3 linked regions of the Bombyx mori genome follow. The protein of the gene in region 1 interacts with the protein of each later gene in a biochemical or structural test. Links are inferred from orthologs where the notes say so. Each region holds a gene or a part of one and is shown in the gene's direction. Other genes may lie near its edges. The genes, in order: ADP-ribosylation factor-like protein 2; tubulin-specific chaperone D; retinal rod rhodopsin-sensitive cGMP 3',5'-cyclic phosphodiesterase subunit delta.

Region 1 (3,596 bases):
AGATCATACTGGAAGAACTACTTCGAGAGTACGGATGGAGTAGCGTGGGTGGTGGACGCGGCGGACGGGGCGCGACTGTCGGCGTGCGCGGCAGAACTCCGCGCGCTGCTCACGGAGGAGCGTCTGGCGGCCGCCACGCTGCTCGTGCTCGCCAACAAGTGCGACCTACCCGGAGCACTCTCCTTGCAACAAATACGAGAGGTCATTATTACACATATTCACATGGTTATGTAACAAAGATTTTATTTACAAAAACACTTTTCTAGTAGATACAAATACCTTAATTTCATCCATATTTGCCAATAAAATAAAAACAATTGTTTTAAAGTTTTAAGAGATTTGAGAAATGACACACACTCACGAACTACGTTATCTGGACGTGGTGCAAGAATTTGTGTACTTGGGGTCATTAATATCCAGTGACGGTGATTGTGACAGGGAGGTGGTCAGGAGGGCCCAGATGTCAAAATCAGCCGTGAAGCGATTGGAGACGATTTGGAGAAATCGCAGCATAAACAAAAAAACTAAGATAAAGCTCATGAGAACCCTTATCTTCTATATCACAGAAGCATAAGCATAAGCGTACAAGAATATGGTTCTTGTACGCTTCTGAGACGTGGCTCCACGTACCCTCAAGGCTCGTACCCGATCGAGAATTGACGCATGGGCGTATCATAGACGGAGCGCCGAACAAATGTGTCAATTCTCTCGGAGCTAAACGTCAAGACCCGTCTATCTACGATCTGTATGCAGCGTCTCCTCAAGTACTTCGGACACGTAGCCAGACGAAATCCTGACAACTTGGAAAAACTAATAGTTGTAGGTCACATGGAAGGAAAGAGAAGTCGAGGAAGATTGCCAACCAGGGGGACAGACATTGTCAAGGAGGCCACAAACACCAGCGTCCCGGGCGCCATTAAGCAGGCCGAATGCAAGCAACATTGGAGGAAGCTAGTGCAAAAACTGGACCAAGGTGGTCACGACCCTCAATAATGAGGAAGCGACAAAGAAGAAGAAAAATGATGCTCTGATCCTTTCGTCACTATTTTCCATTGCCATCACTGGTTATTCTATATGATCTCATTCCTTAATGCTAAACAGTATTTAAGTCTATTCATGTTGGTTAGCAGATTTTAAGGTTGCTTTTTTATGAATAAACAGAAATTAGTTTACATAACAAAAAACATTTCGTTTTCAGGCTCTAGATCTCGACAGCATAAAATCTCATCACTGGCGCATCGTGAGGTGCTCTGCAGTCACCGGAGAGAACCTTTTAGAAGGAATCGACTGGATGTTAGACGATATTGCGTCGAGAATATTCACTCTAGACTGAATTTATTCTATTTTCTTTATAAAGCACTATATCACAAGATAAATTGTGACGTCATAGTAATAATTTAAAAAAATCATAAGAAATTTACAACTATTTAGAAATAACAGCTCATTCTAACAACACTTATTCAACACTAAATATTACTTAGTTTTTATTTCACACATTTATTTAACATAATCCATTGAAAAAAATTACCTTTCGAAAATGCTGTACATTCAAGTAAGTTTTATATGTATCGTTAATTTTTTATGATTGAAATGTCAATCTTGTGAATTCTAAAATCCTGCATGGTAAATTTACGATATCAAAGAAGAAAATTTAAAGGATAAAATAATTTATCATTATAGTATTATAGCATTTTCATTAAAATATTAAAATAGTTTGTATTGATAGTATTCCATGTTCATTAGAAAGTGTAGTGTCCTATGTATTTTTAAAGTAAAGGTAACCCTCCTATAACACGGTAGATACATTCCTACAAAGTCCCGTGTTGTGCGCAACCCTGTTACTGTTATATGAGACCAGAAGCCAGTACAAAAAGAGTAATTTTTCTGAATGAAACATCTCATATAGATGAGATGTTACAATGTTACATGTAAAATACAGGTATACCCGATTTTTTTTTCCTTTAATGCATAGAAAAATAGCAAAAATTTCGTTTATTCCGATATACTGTGTGTTCATAGTGCATAATGTAATTTTCTAAATAATTTTAAACAAATCAACATTATCCTGCTGGAGAAGTACTGTGTTACTAATAAGGGATTTGGGATTTTTCCTTTAGTTTTATAGTGAAACCGTGTTTTTATAGGAGGGTTACCTGTAGTTAAAGGTCTACACACACATTTTCAAAATGTAATTAGGTTTACAAAATGCAGATTTAATAAATTTACATATTAACTGTGATGCTTTTTAAAAATAAATACATGTAATGACAAAATTCTTATTGTAATATTTTTACTGTTTATCCTTGCAGCTGGAAGCCCTTACGGAAGGCAGGTGGTGCTCCCTACCTTGCAACATAACGGTTAGGAATTTGGTAACTGGAGAGGGTAATAAGGACTTGTAACGAAATAATAGCAGTATCTCCAGGACAGTCTAGAACCTCGGATTTACATTGAACATAAAAGAAGAGTAGATAACAATTGTTCTAAATCTATATTATACATAAGGACATTACTAGTTAACAATTTTCTCCAGGCTGAACCACGTAACCTCACCTACTGCCTGTTGCTGCCAAAGCATTCATACAATCCGATTTGAAAGCTAGGGCAGCCTTTACCTATTATTCATAAACGTTTGTTAAACAAAAGAAAGATAATAATAATAATATTGAAAGGCCTAATTTAGGTTTAAAGCACAAGAACATTAAGAACTCCTAATTAAGTGTTATAAAGAACAATAAAAAACGTACCTAGTAGTTCTTTACTTGACTTTACTTATTTATTGCTTAGATGGATGGACGAGCTCACAGTCCTGGTATTAAGTGGTTACTGGAGCCCATAGACAACTACAACGTAAATGCGCCACCCACCTTGAGATATAAGTTCTAAGGTCTCAGTATAGTTACAACGGCTGCCCCACCCTTCAAACCGAAACGCATTACTGCTTCACGGCAGAAATAGGCAGGGCGGTGGTACCTACCCGTGCGGACTCACGTGAGGTCCTACCACCAGTAATTATAATTTTGCGGGTTTGATTTTTATTATACAATGTTATTCCTTTAACGTGGAAGTCAATCGTGAACATTTGTTAAGTACGTATTTCATTAGAAAAATTGGTACCCGCCGGCGGGATTCGAACACCGGTGCATCGTTAGATACGAATGCACCGGACGTTTTATCATTTAGGCCACGACGACTGCTATCAGCTATACTTACTTATTTATTAAGAAAATAATGAAAAACCATTTTAATACGAATAAACTTTTAATATTTTCTCTTGTCTATTTGTAAAATTTATCAACTTTGCAGATTTATTCCTATATTACGCCTCGACATGACCGACTAATGTTCGCTGGATATTACCCAGTGTATGTACCTTCAAAATGACTTTCCATAAGCTGCTGTACGCTTGTAAGAAAAATCTGGAAATACCGTGATAAAAGTAGACCTTTATCACAGAACTTGTGTTCTTCAAGTTCCTACTCTGTTGATAATATTACCAGTCATGTCGATGTAAAGTCTACTAAGATTGATTAATAACTTCTTCTGTTGTTTCGGTGGAAACTTCGTCGTTTTTAGGATTGTCATTCACCTCTGAT
Region 2 (5,543 bases), on another chromosome or scaffold:
CATTTGGTGGATATAAAATATTTGTTATTGAAAATTAGGGATTTTCTTATATTAAATTATAACCTTTCTTTTAAGTGAAACTTCTCTCTACTTACTACCCCCTAATAAGAACTTATTTTGCATTTGTTTTTGAATTTGCATTTGTTTTATTTTGAATTGTTAAAGATAAATTTTCAGTTGTCATAAAGGTACCTGCTCTACTTCACTGATGGTCTACTTAGACCACTGAAGTATGAAAATGACTTTTAAACTAAAAGGCTTGTTACACTTGGCTGAATTTAGTCAACTGAATTCAGTGAAGTGTAATAGCATTAAGTAAGTTAGTCTACTGAATCCAGTAACAAGGATGGTTTCTGACTGACTAAATCATTTAGAAGCCTAATTAGCAACGCATTCAGGTAGGTGTAATCGCATTTAGTTACTTAATGGTTTCAGTCGTCCCATAGCTCTCCGTGCGTAAGGACATTTTAGTTTGTTTTTTGCTTCCGAATAAAAAGTATTAATTTCGGTCGCCTTTATTTAATGTGCCAGATTATACCATATGACAATAATCATATAATAGATATATAGGTAATAGACTATCGTAGGATAGTATCCTGCTTTTGAATAAATGGTGTCACAAGGTTTAATATTAGGTCAAACGAGATCGAATCTATTTATAAATAATTTTTTAAGTCTGCTGGTTCTAAATCACTCATAATATTTGCTAACATTCCGCACAGCAATCAATATTTCTTCAACGATATCCCCTTTTTTTTTGAGAAATTGATTATACGCGTTTATACTGACAATTGATTCAGTAACTGAATTTAGAGCAGTGTAATCAGAAGCTTCTAAATTTGCTTCTGAATTCAGTCGACTAAATTCAGCCAAGTGTAATAAGCCTTTAACGCAAAACTACTTTAAAGATCTATGCGCCAAACTCGGCAAAACTGTTAAAACGTTCATAGTGACTTGTAAAGATGGGTTAATACCGATATTTGTCAATATTAGCGAATACGAATATATTCATTATGTAATATACCTTAACTAATACGTGAATATCCTCATATCGTATTATACTTCGATAAAACGGGTAAACGAGTTAAACCTAATACGGTATTTGTGAAATAAGTTAATAATCATAGATAATACACATAAATTAGTTATTAATAATATAAATAGTATATTGTATCTAGGAATTTGATTTCATACTAAATATTTTACAAGTAATATTATGTACATTAAAATGAATATTATTATTAAATCAGAATTTGGTCAATATTGTACATTAATATAAACAACAAGTTAGTAATATTATTTATTTCTTATTGGTGCATAAAAACATTAGCTTTTTTACTTTTTCTACCGAAAGACTCGTACGTCGGTCAGAAATGAGTTTACCAGATTTTGAAAAAATCCTCTCACACGGTACTGAAGTGGCTTGTAGGTACACAACAGTTATAATATTATAATCCCCGAACTGTTTGTTTAGAAAGTCATTTCGATTCAAAAATCAAACATTTATTTATAATTTGAGAAGTTCTTAGAAGATAATTAAATACCACCGCAAAAATATATTGTCATCATAATTTATTACGTAAAAACACTTAATTTAGTTCTGGCCGTATTACGTTTTGTGTAAAAAATATTTTAATTTATGAAATTGGTAAACAATGTCAACTGCCTACTTCCGTTTTTCAAATCATCATTTTAAAACCAACTAATTCGAAGGCAACAGAAAATAAAATTAAAGTAATGAAAATAAAGCTCCCCGATTTTATTCCAATAAATGTAAAAATGTACTACTTTGCCTTGAGTAGAATCTCTAGTTGAATCAAGAAATGAAGGTCCAAACATTAAAAAGTAATGCGTTTAAAAATTCCCACTAGCATCTTTGACATGTAAAAAGTTGAATTAAAAAATAGTCCATAAACTCATAATGATATGTACTTATTTTCATTGCTCAATATGTAAAAATATAGTTTATTTCACTTCCTCTTAGCGCATGCAGTATTGTTATGAATGTGATAGACAGATATCCGCGAGACACGTACGGCGTATGCCAGTATATTTCAGAGTGATAGATACAACCCGACCGATGTGAGTTGGCTAATATTATGAATAAAGTGAATACGGAATATTAGCATATCAGAATTCGACGGATTACCGATACACGAATACAAGCTGTATTACGAATATCTTAATGAATACTAATATATCGGTCTCACCCTTAGTGACTTGTCAATTTGTCAACTGTCTACAGTGTCTACCTACTATTGTTTTTATTCCTAAAAGTTGAAGATATGAGCTTTATTTACGAAATTTAGTGCTTAGTAATTCAAATCATTAATAATAACTCACGAAGTCAAACCTTTTTCGCGAAAAGAGTACATAAAAGAAAAAAAATGGTGGGGTTAGACTCTGAGATTAACCGGGATGACGAATGTGATAATATTGGGCTGGGATGTGCACTCGAATACTTTTCAGAGGTCGAGGATGTGATGAACATGATTGATAATGTAAAAAATGTTTATAACACCTCTGCTTTTGAAGTGGAGTACGATAAACTTTACACAATACTTAAACAGTATTATGAACAACCACATCTGTTGGATCCACATTTAGACAAAATTCTATCGAAATTTTTGTTACTTATCAAAGATAAAGATTCTCCTTTCGAACTGAAACATGCAACTTTTAATTACATGTACCAAATCATAAGAGTTCGAGGCTATAAGGTGGTTGTTAGACATCTTCCACATGAAGTTAGTATGTAAACTAAATTGTTTGATATGAGTCCATGACATAACAATGGATTTTATTAAAGAGAAATGTATAATTTTTAGGTGTCTGATTTGCTGACTGTATTGGTATTTTTGGAAGCTCAAAATCCTGATGATAAGGAAACATGGAGAAGCAGATTTGTCTTACTGTTATGGTTGTCAATTGTTGTTATTATTCCATTTCATATGAGTCGCCTAGATGGATTCGCTCCTGGACAACCAGGTATGTTATAGAACATCTATCAATGACCAATACATACCTACCTTATGATATTTTAATAATGAATAATAAGTGGTTGAATGTTAATCTGTCTTTCATGTATAAAAATAGCAGTAGTTGTGACATGATTTCATAAAGAGACTGTCTTGTGTTATAGAATGACAAACATTATTTTTTTTTGTGTTGGAATAGTAATTCTCAACTGCTTCTTCTGTGGCACACAATGATTTTAAAAGTTCAGAAGCTATTTACTGTGTAAAATAATGATGTAATGATAATGTAAAACAATGTAATGATTTTGGCTGCACATAAACTAGAAGAATTAGGTGGGCCACAAAATTGTCATAGTGCAGTAATTGAGAATCATTCTTTTAGAATAACAAAATGGAAAAAATTGCTTTGGCAATTTTGTAATTTAATATCTAAAACTTTCAGTGGCATAAAATTTTCGAAATTTAAAAGTGATAGTTTTATTCATGATTACAAAATGAGTAACACATGTTTTTCAGAAGCAGGCACTTCGAAAAAATTAACAGTCATGGAAAGAATCTTTAATATTTGTAAAACATATGCACTTAGCAAAGATTCATGTGCTGAAGCCAGTGCTTATTTAGCCTCTAAATTTTTTACAAGGTAAACCTTTTATTTATTATTATTGAAATTCGGCAATGATAAAATGACAAAAATTCTGATTAACTAGAGGTCCAGTCAAATCTATGACTTGTTTAATGACAAATACAATACATATAGTATTTAATTTTGAAGATGAAATATTGACTTTACTTTGCTGAAATGAAGTGGCTCCTGCTGCCCACAGATATATGTAGTTGGTACCAATGGTGCTTATTTTAACTTGCCTTATATAAATCTCAATATATAAATATACAACCTGCAGGTCAGATGTGAAAGAATTATATATGGGTGCATTCTTTGATTGGGCCTGTGAGCTGAATTCAAATTTAAATGAAGAGAACACTATACACTACGGGGTTTTAGCTGCTGTTGCAGCTGTTCTGAAGCACGGGAAAAGAGATGATTTACTACCATATGCACCTAAATTACTTGAATGGGTTACGAACCAAAACTATAAGCATCATAATGCTATGCTTGTTAGAAAATATGGAGTTAAAATTGTCCAAAGAATTGGTAAGCATAGGCTATTTCTATAGAGAAATAGCTTTTTTATTATTTCAAAATTAGAATCTGCCACCCTTTGCTTATGCATGGTCTGGTCTTGTATTTGAGGGATTGGGTGAACAAACAGTCAATACTTGGAGCCTTAAGTAACCATCTTTGTATCAAGGCCCTGAACTTCATTCCACTTCTTCAGATATTGCCAATATATACACATTTATCTAGATTTATTTATTTATTTAATTAGTCTACTTACAAATTAACAGTATAAACCAAAACATTTGTAAGGTATTAATAATTAGCTTAAGTAATTCCTGACAACAACAATAAATCGTTGCAAACCATCATGGAATATATCCATTTCCGGAGCATAGGCTAGCACGCCATTGAGTAGCGAAACAGCACGATGCACGGTGGGTCGATACTATGATTTTAGTGACTTAGGGACCAACTTTGTTTTTTAACATTTTTCTTTATGTAGATAGATAGAGCTCGTTAATCTCAATAATAATTGTTTTGGGAAAAAATTACAAAAACTTTATAGTTTGGTCAGAAAAATGTGTTTTGTGATTTTTTTGTATGGAGCGGGTCACATTATATTAAATTCCTGCTAAGTACCGCAAGGTCCCGCTTTGAAACTTTATTTTCCTTACACCTTGTCTAGTCTACTATCATTTGATGCTATGAACATGTGCATAAAGTAGCAACTCTGCCAAATAAATGGATCGAAAAAAATGAATAAATACATGGAATAAAAACCTTTATATATTTTTTTCGTAAGTGCTTTTAAGTTAAATTTGATATGGATAGTAAGTAAAAGCACGTAATGATACCCATAATTACAGAATACCTAACAACAATACATTTAGTAGGTCTCTAATTAAGCAATCGCTCTAAGTTTTATATATTTTGTTTCACCATTCGATTTTTGGGCCAGAAGACAAAAGAAGATTGTGTAAAATATCCTCATTAGTCGACGTTCTACTTATTTTTCTAGAAGAACAACTCTCTGTATATTTCGAAAATCTTTATTGAGAGCTTCCGCTGCCTCTTCCGAGAGCTTATCTATTCGAATGGCACCAAAGTTCTTCATTATTGTATATCACCGCCATGAGCCAACAATTTATGGATACTGAAAGGCATATAATACCAGGGATATAAATTAACATACAATTCTGCAGTATATCTACAAAATTCGGAAAAATTGGAAAGGTCCACGCGCTCTCCAGATGCAACAGTCTGAAGAATCACGTGAAACCACTCTATTCAATCTTTACGTATTCCTGTTATGCGGGCTGTTCCTTCTGCATCCCTAAAAAATCTTCTGGCAGTATTGCCATAATTGGTTGTTCCTACTTCTTGCTTGACAACATCTATAAGTAAACCGCATACTGGAATATTTCTTCATTATTTTCTCTTTGACA
Region 3 (5,669 bases), on another chromosome or scaffold:
TCGTGTTTCCATACAGCCTGTTTTAACAATAGTGTTTATACCTAGAAATCTGAATACAATATTTGAATATATTCACCAAATCGGTGGTTAGTTTAATTTCAAAAAAATATATATTCATTACTTACCGCCCCACTTGATGCACAATATCTGTTATCACAGTTAACATTGCCACAACCATCTAGCAGTTGATAAAAATATTTTTCAATTAACTGCTTGGCTGCGGCTCGCTTCATAATATTTCCTGATGTTAGCTGGTCTTCAACAATGTCAGGGGTTGAATTTATCGATGATGATGATGCTTCGCTCCCCCTGAATGATAAACAATAGTAATGCATATATTTATTACAAAACGTAACAAATATATTTTCAAACAACACTTTATTTTTGCTTAAAGGAAGGTACTAAAATAGCAAGTAATGCTTCATAACCCCTATCAACATTTTGTTTCTGCACGAAACAAATACAATAAAATTTAGATATATTTTGGTAATCTTAAAGGTCAACGTGATGTGAATTTTTAAATATTAATAATATAGTGAAATAATAAAACAGATACATACCTCGAAGCTTCGACAGACTCGCTTTTCGGGTTCATAGAAAATTCTTAATAATCCTGTAGTGATTTCAAACGGCCAGTTACATAAATACGGTGATAACGTAAACATTAGCAGGGTACAAATTTTAGAAATATTTTTTGTGTTCACCTCTTGGACTAAACAAACAACATTTACATAGTACAACATATAATTTTACCTATTGGCTATTATTGTGTTTTATGTAGGTACCTATGTACAAAATTACAAATTGAGATTTTTGTGAAATTTTCTTTTTTTTGTTACGGCCATTGGCTACTGTATCTTTTGGCAAAGAAAGTGCACAATCGTTGATTCGATTTTGTGGTTTAGTCGATTTGATATTGATGTGCACAAGATCGTTTTGAAGCTGTCATATAAAAAGCCTGTTTGACTGAATCGACATTTGTGAATTACTGTAAAATAAATTTAAAATTTGAAATTTATAGTCTGAGACTCTGGAAAATGCTCTGTAGTAGTTCACAGATTAAAATATTAGTTACTGAGCATTTCTCAAAAAAATTGACCATAGCAGCCGCAATGTTGATGTCCCATACTTTGGTCTTTGATGATGTTTTTATTACGATAATATAAATAACATACATGACAGTCGTAACTTCATTGATATTACTTAATTATCAGAGAAAATATCAAAACAATAAATAAACCACACTAATTACAATAAATAATTAATAATCTAAAAACCAAAATATTCGTACTATGGAAAATAAGTTGTCCCATTAAGACCGCAGTGATTTTGAACTCATTTATTTCATTACATTCTATTTGTATTCTATTTACATTCTATTCATATGATGTTATGTCATATGTCATATGATGACGTTAATTGGTGGATCCCATGGAGTTAATAATAATACTAATCTCTATAGAGGATCCCGAGAAGCTATGTCCAGTGGCTTTGTTTCGTTTTCCCACATTTGTGAACTTTCACAGATATCAAACAGTTAATAAACCACCGTTATTACACATTTAAACCTGAAGAAACACTAAATAGATAAAATAAAACAAATCACACAACTTCACTCCTCGCGTTCCCGCCAAAAACAACCTAAAGGTCTATGTTACCAGGTCATAAAAAAAGACCATAGACTTAATTTATGGAGCTTGCAAAAAAAACCCCAGAAAAAGTGGTTTTCATTTTTCAATGTGAATGTGAACAATATTGTGTTCGTAATTGAATTTAGAGTCATAGAATAAACACTTAATTGTTTAGAGTATTTTGTTAGACAGAAAAATAAACACAGTTCAGTTCGCTGTTAAGAAAATCAGCAATCAAAAACATAATCATATAAAATTGGAATTGAACTTTTATTTTCGCAAATATGACTGACGTTCTAACAACTGAACGAGATAAAAATGATCGTGTGGAGACTATTCTGAAGGGATTTCAAATGTATCCTTTACATATGTTCTTTTTCTTATATTGCCCTTAATGCCATTGTGAGTTGAGATCCTTTAAAATCGAATAGTTGACGAGTAAGTCGTGGCGTTACGTCTAGCAGGGCACCTTTTTTTGCTTTTTGGATGATTACCCGACTGTCGAGAGACTTTAAACCAAGTCCTGCCTATTCTTTTAAAAAGTATTTTTGCATTATTAGGCCCATCGTCTGCAAACATAATGCTGTTCCATAGTAATTCAGTACCTAAGCATTTGTACCGTGCATCACTTTTGGAATGAATTTCTTCCCACGATTATGCTGTTGTTTCCCACAATAGTCCCACAATTAAAGTTTGAAAATGTACCTGAAAATGTAAAAATAATACATCCTCAATTGATGTATTTAACATGTGATCCCTAATTGATTATAAACAGCGTTAAAAATAAATAGATTCATCATTTCAATGTGTTTTACTTAACAATTGTCAATAATTTTTTAACATTGCAACGTCAGTAATTGGATGAATCTTCGTGATGCTGACACAGGTAAAGATCTAGTCATTGAAAAAAAAACGTTTGAAATATATTAAAATTAAGATCAGTAGTAGAATTTGTTTTGCCTGTAAATTAGATATGCAATTTCCAAAGATAAACAAGTCAGTTACTGATTGTGTATATCATTGTTTGTTTTTTTAAATATACTCAACAGAATATAATTAAAAGTTATATGATGCTATAGTTGATGTGAATGAAAAATTAAAATAAATAAATAAATGACTAATCTTGGGTCCAAGGTGGTTAATTGTTTTTACATTGGGATGTCTATGAGACCACTCCAGGAGCAAGATTTATTAAATGTTTTCTAGTATTTAAAAATCCTACAAGTAGCTTCACCAGACTGCTGATGATTGTTGTATAAAATATACATACTCAACACATAATAATAATACTCAAAACTGTAATAACATATCGCGGGCGAGCAAAGCGTGGCAATTTTTTTTTCTCATTTTATGAAGTTTCTTAAATAAAAATCAAACTACTTTTAGATACTTAAGTAACAGCAATGTTATAATTTTTCCCCTATTGCACATTTATATTTATTTTATTAATAATTCTTTTTCAGGAAAAATTCTTTGGCAACATAATGAGGACATGTCAAGTCCAGATGCGGAACACGAAGCAAGAGTACCCAAAAGAATTCTCAAGTGCAGAGTAGTGTCTCGTGAAATGAACTTCAGCTCAATAGAATCCATGGATAGATTTAGATTAGAACAGGTACATCTATACATATAAATAAAATTAGAGTGTCTGTTTGTAGTATTGAAATAACAGCTTTTTACTACATTCATATGAATATATATACGGTACATATACCAAAATAAAATTTTTTATAATTTTTTTTTGTCTGTCTGTTTGTTCCGGCTAATCTCTGGAACGGCTGGACCAATTTTGATGAGACTTTCACTAATAGGTAGCTGATGATATAAGGAGTAACTTAGACAACTTTTTTTACACTAGCTTCGCCCCGCGGCGTCTCCCGCAGTTATTGTCGTACCGCGCGCTACATGGCTGGCTTGGCCTATCAGTCAATAATAAAATTTAATGTTTCCGAAGAGAAGCGAGGGCGGGTCGCTAGTGTTAAGATAGTAAGCAATTAAAGTAGAATTAGTTTCCAACTACAAGCATCATTTAACATTATTTATGTAGCCGATGAGTCAGAAATACTAAAAACAGTATGTTGTAGGTTAGATAGACTAGACAGTGTTGATTAGTGTTCAGTAGATGCTTAAAGGAGGGGACGTCATAAATAGACTTGGAGGGAATGTGTGAACCCCTTTCACACATTCCCTCCAAGTCCATATGAGTGAAAAGGGTGTGTATGGGTAAATATGATGTATGATAGACCTGAATGGAAAAAAGGTCATCATTGTATAAAGGCAAGAATAAGAATAAGAAAAAGTGTCATGATAGTTTTGATTTAGGTGGAATTATATTTATCAAACTGATATTCGAATCTGAGTATTGAGTATACATCTTCCTGTCTTATATGTATGTTTCTGGTATCCAGAACATGGGAGAAATTTCTGGCTTAGACTGTATAGTGTGAAATGTTTGCTTGTTAAAATAACATCACCATCAGCATCTATCAGTATAATTGGCCACAGATGTGACAACTTAGAACTGTCTGAATCCAAGCTTTGCTCCATATTTATATCATATTATTTCAAAAATAATTCATTCATCTAGTTTATTTTAATTGACTTGAATTAATATGTTCACAGAATTATAGAATTTAAACTATCCAATCCTGCATTTAACTGGTAGTACACTTACAATTAAATATAACATTACCAATCTAATTAGATATAAAATATAATTTTTACATAGATAAACATTTTATTATTTGGTAATTCGGTACTAACTTCATTAATAACACATGGATTTTGAGCTACTCACACCTACAGCAATAGAAAATATATAACTGATTTGAACACTAAAAAAAACTAAATGTTTCTTTTTATAGAAAGTACTCTTCAAAGGGAGATGTTTAGAAGAGTGGTTTTTCGATTTTGGTTATGTGATCCCGAACTCAACGAACACTTGGCAATCCGTTATAGAGTCAGCGCCTGAATCGCAAATGATGCCGGCCAATGTGCTCAAGTAAGTTTGATAGTATATAAAATTTCAATATAAATTAGTATAGATGGGCAGATGAGGCTACAGCTCACATTTAGGTGATACTGAAACCCAAATACACTATGAAGTGCTTGTGGTGACTAACCTGAAAACATGTGACCTATGTCTGTTACATATTGTATAATATCGACAGATATGGGAGCTTTTCTGTAGAAATATGAGTGGTGATATTTACCTGAGCGGAATCATAGTACAGCCTATCTACACTACTAATTAATCGAAAGTTTTGCATTTATTTAGTACATACTTATTGTAAGATAAAAAGTGCGGCACCCATTAGGCTAGGTACACTGCATTTATCATGTTGCTTGTTTACCAGAGCCCCAAATAACCTCAAACTAAATGTTAATACTACCACTCCGAGACCTGAGAACATGAGTTGGTTGCGTAAAATTATCACTAGGGCTGAAGAAAATTTTTGGAATTATTCTAATTTTATAAATATATAAATAGAATTAGAATTCATAACACCTGAATATGTGAAAACTGCCAAATTGCCAGTTTCTTTATTAGGGTTAATAGTCCACTTTTAAGTCTTGGTTACAAGGATCAGATTACAATTTATTTCGCTGCCAAGATAAATTAGAATGTTTTCCAGTAGGGATATCCTGGATAGAACCCTTGATCTCCAAACAACTAATTAAATATGTCAAACGTCAGACCAGAGCTCAAGTATTTTGGCGGGAAATTTTAAAACTGTTCCAAAAAAAATGCAATTGGCATTAAATTAATGTGTAAATATTTTGCAATTACGAATTATTATATACTAATTATGGAATTTTCTATTTTCAGTGGGAACGTGGTTATCGAAACGAAATTTTTTGATGGAGATTTGCTGATCACAACCTCTAGAGTACGACTGTTCTATATATGAGTCGTCTATTATCAAAGGCGGCAATCTGTACATTTGGACAAAAATTTTTTATTGATATGTCAATACAGATTTATTTGAATATAATCGTCTCCTTCAAAGAATACGGTTCAAAACCTGCATTAAATAA

Evidence for each region.
Region 2: the proteins of ADP-ribosylation factor-like protein 2 (region 1) and tubulin-specific chaperone D form a complex in vitro, tested with the Homo sapiens proteins (2 studies listed by BioGRID and IntAct). The link is inferred for Bombyx mori from reciprocal best matches to the Homo sapiens genes ARL2 and TBCD.
Region 3: the proteins of ADP-ribosylation factor-like protein 2 (region 1) and retinal rod rhodopsin-sensitive cGMP 3',5'-cyclic phosphodiesterase subunit delta are reported together in a solved structure, tested with the Homo sapiens proteins (2 studies listed by BioGRID and IntAct, with this or other methods). The link is inferred for Bombyx mori from reciprocal best matches to the Homo sapiens genes ARL2 and PDE6D.

What each region holds. Positions count from the first base shown.
Region 1 is NC_085131.1:275,430-279,025, forward strand, and holds the end of ADP-ribosylation factor-like protein 2, read left to right. Parts: intron 1-2; coding exon 3-201; intron 202-1,198; coding exon 1,199-1,333; 3' UTR 1,334-2,273; downstream 2,274-3,596. Other genes in the region: pinin, read right to left, coding at 3,521-3,596. UniProt on the Homo sapiens protein: Small GTP-binding protein which cycles between an inactive GDP-bound and an active GTP-bound form, and the rate of cycling is regulated by guanine nucleotide exchange factors (GEF) and GTPase-activating proteins (GAP).
Region 2 is NC_085115.1:7,803,231-7,808,773, reverse strand, and holds the start of tubulin-specific chaperone D, read left to right. Parts: upstream 1-2,230; 5' UTR 2,231-2,387; coding exon 2,388-2,747; intron 2,748-2,828; coding exon 2,829-2,988; intron 2,989-3,494; coding exon 3,495-3,618; intron 3,619-3,880; coding exon 3,881-4,131; intron 4,132-5,543.
Region 3 is NC_085119.1:5,232,497-5,238,165, forward strand, and holds the start of retinal rod rhodopsin-sensitive cGMP 3',5'-cyclic phosphodiesterase subunit delta, read left to right. Parts: upstream 1-1,841; 5' UTR 1,842-1,915; coding exon 1,916-1,986; exon of another isoform or gene 1,987-2,336; intron 2,337-2,485; coding exon 2,486-2,517; intron 2,518-3,094; coding exon 3,095-3,246; intron 3,247-4,495; coding exon 4,496-4,632; intron 4,633-5,460; coding exon 5,461-5,542; 3' UTR 5,543-5,669. Other genes in the region: ubiquitin-protein ligase E3A, read right to left, coding at 126-309, 561-595. UniProt on the Homo sapiens protein: Promotes the release of prenylated target proteins from cellular membranes. Modulates the activity of prenylated or palmitoylated Ras family members by regulating their subcellular location.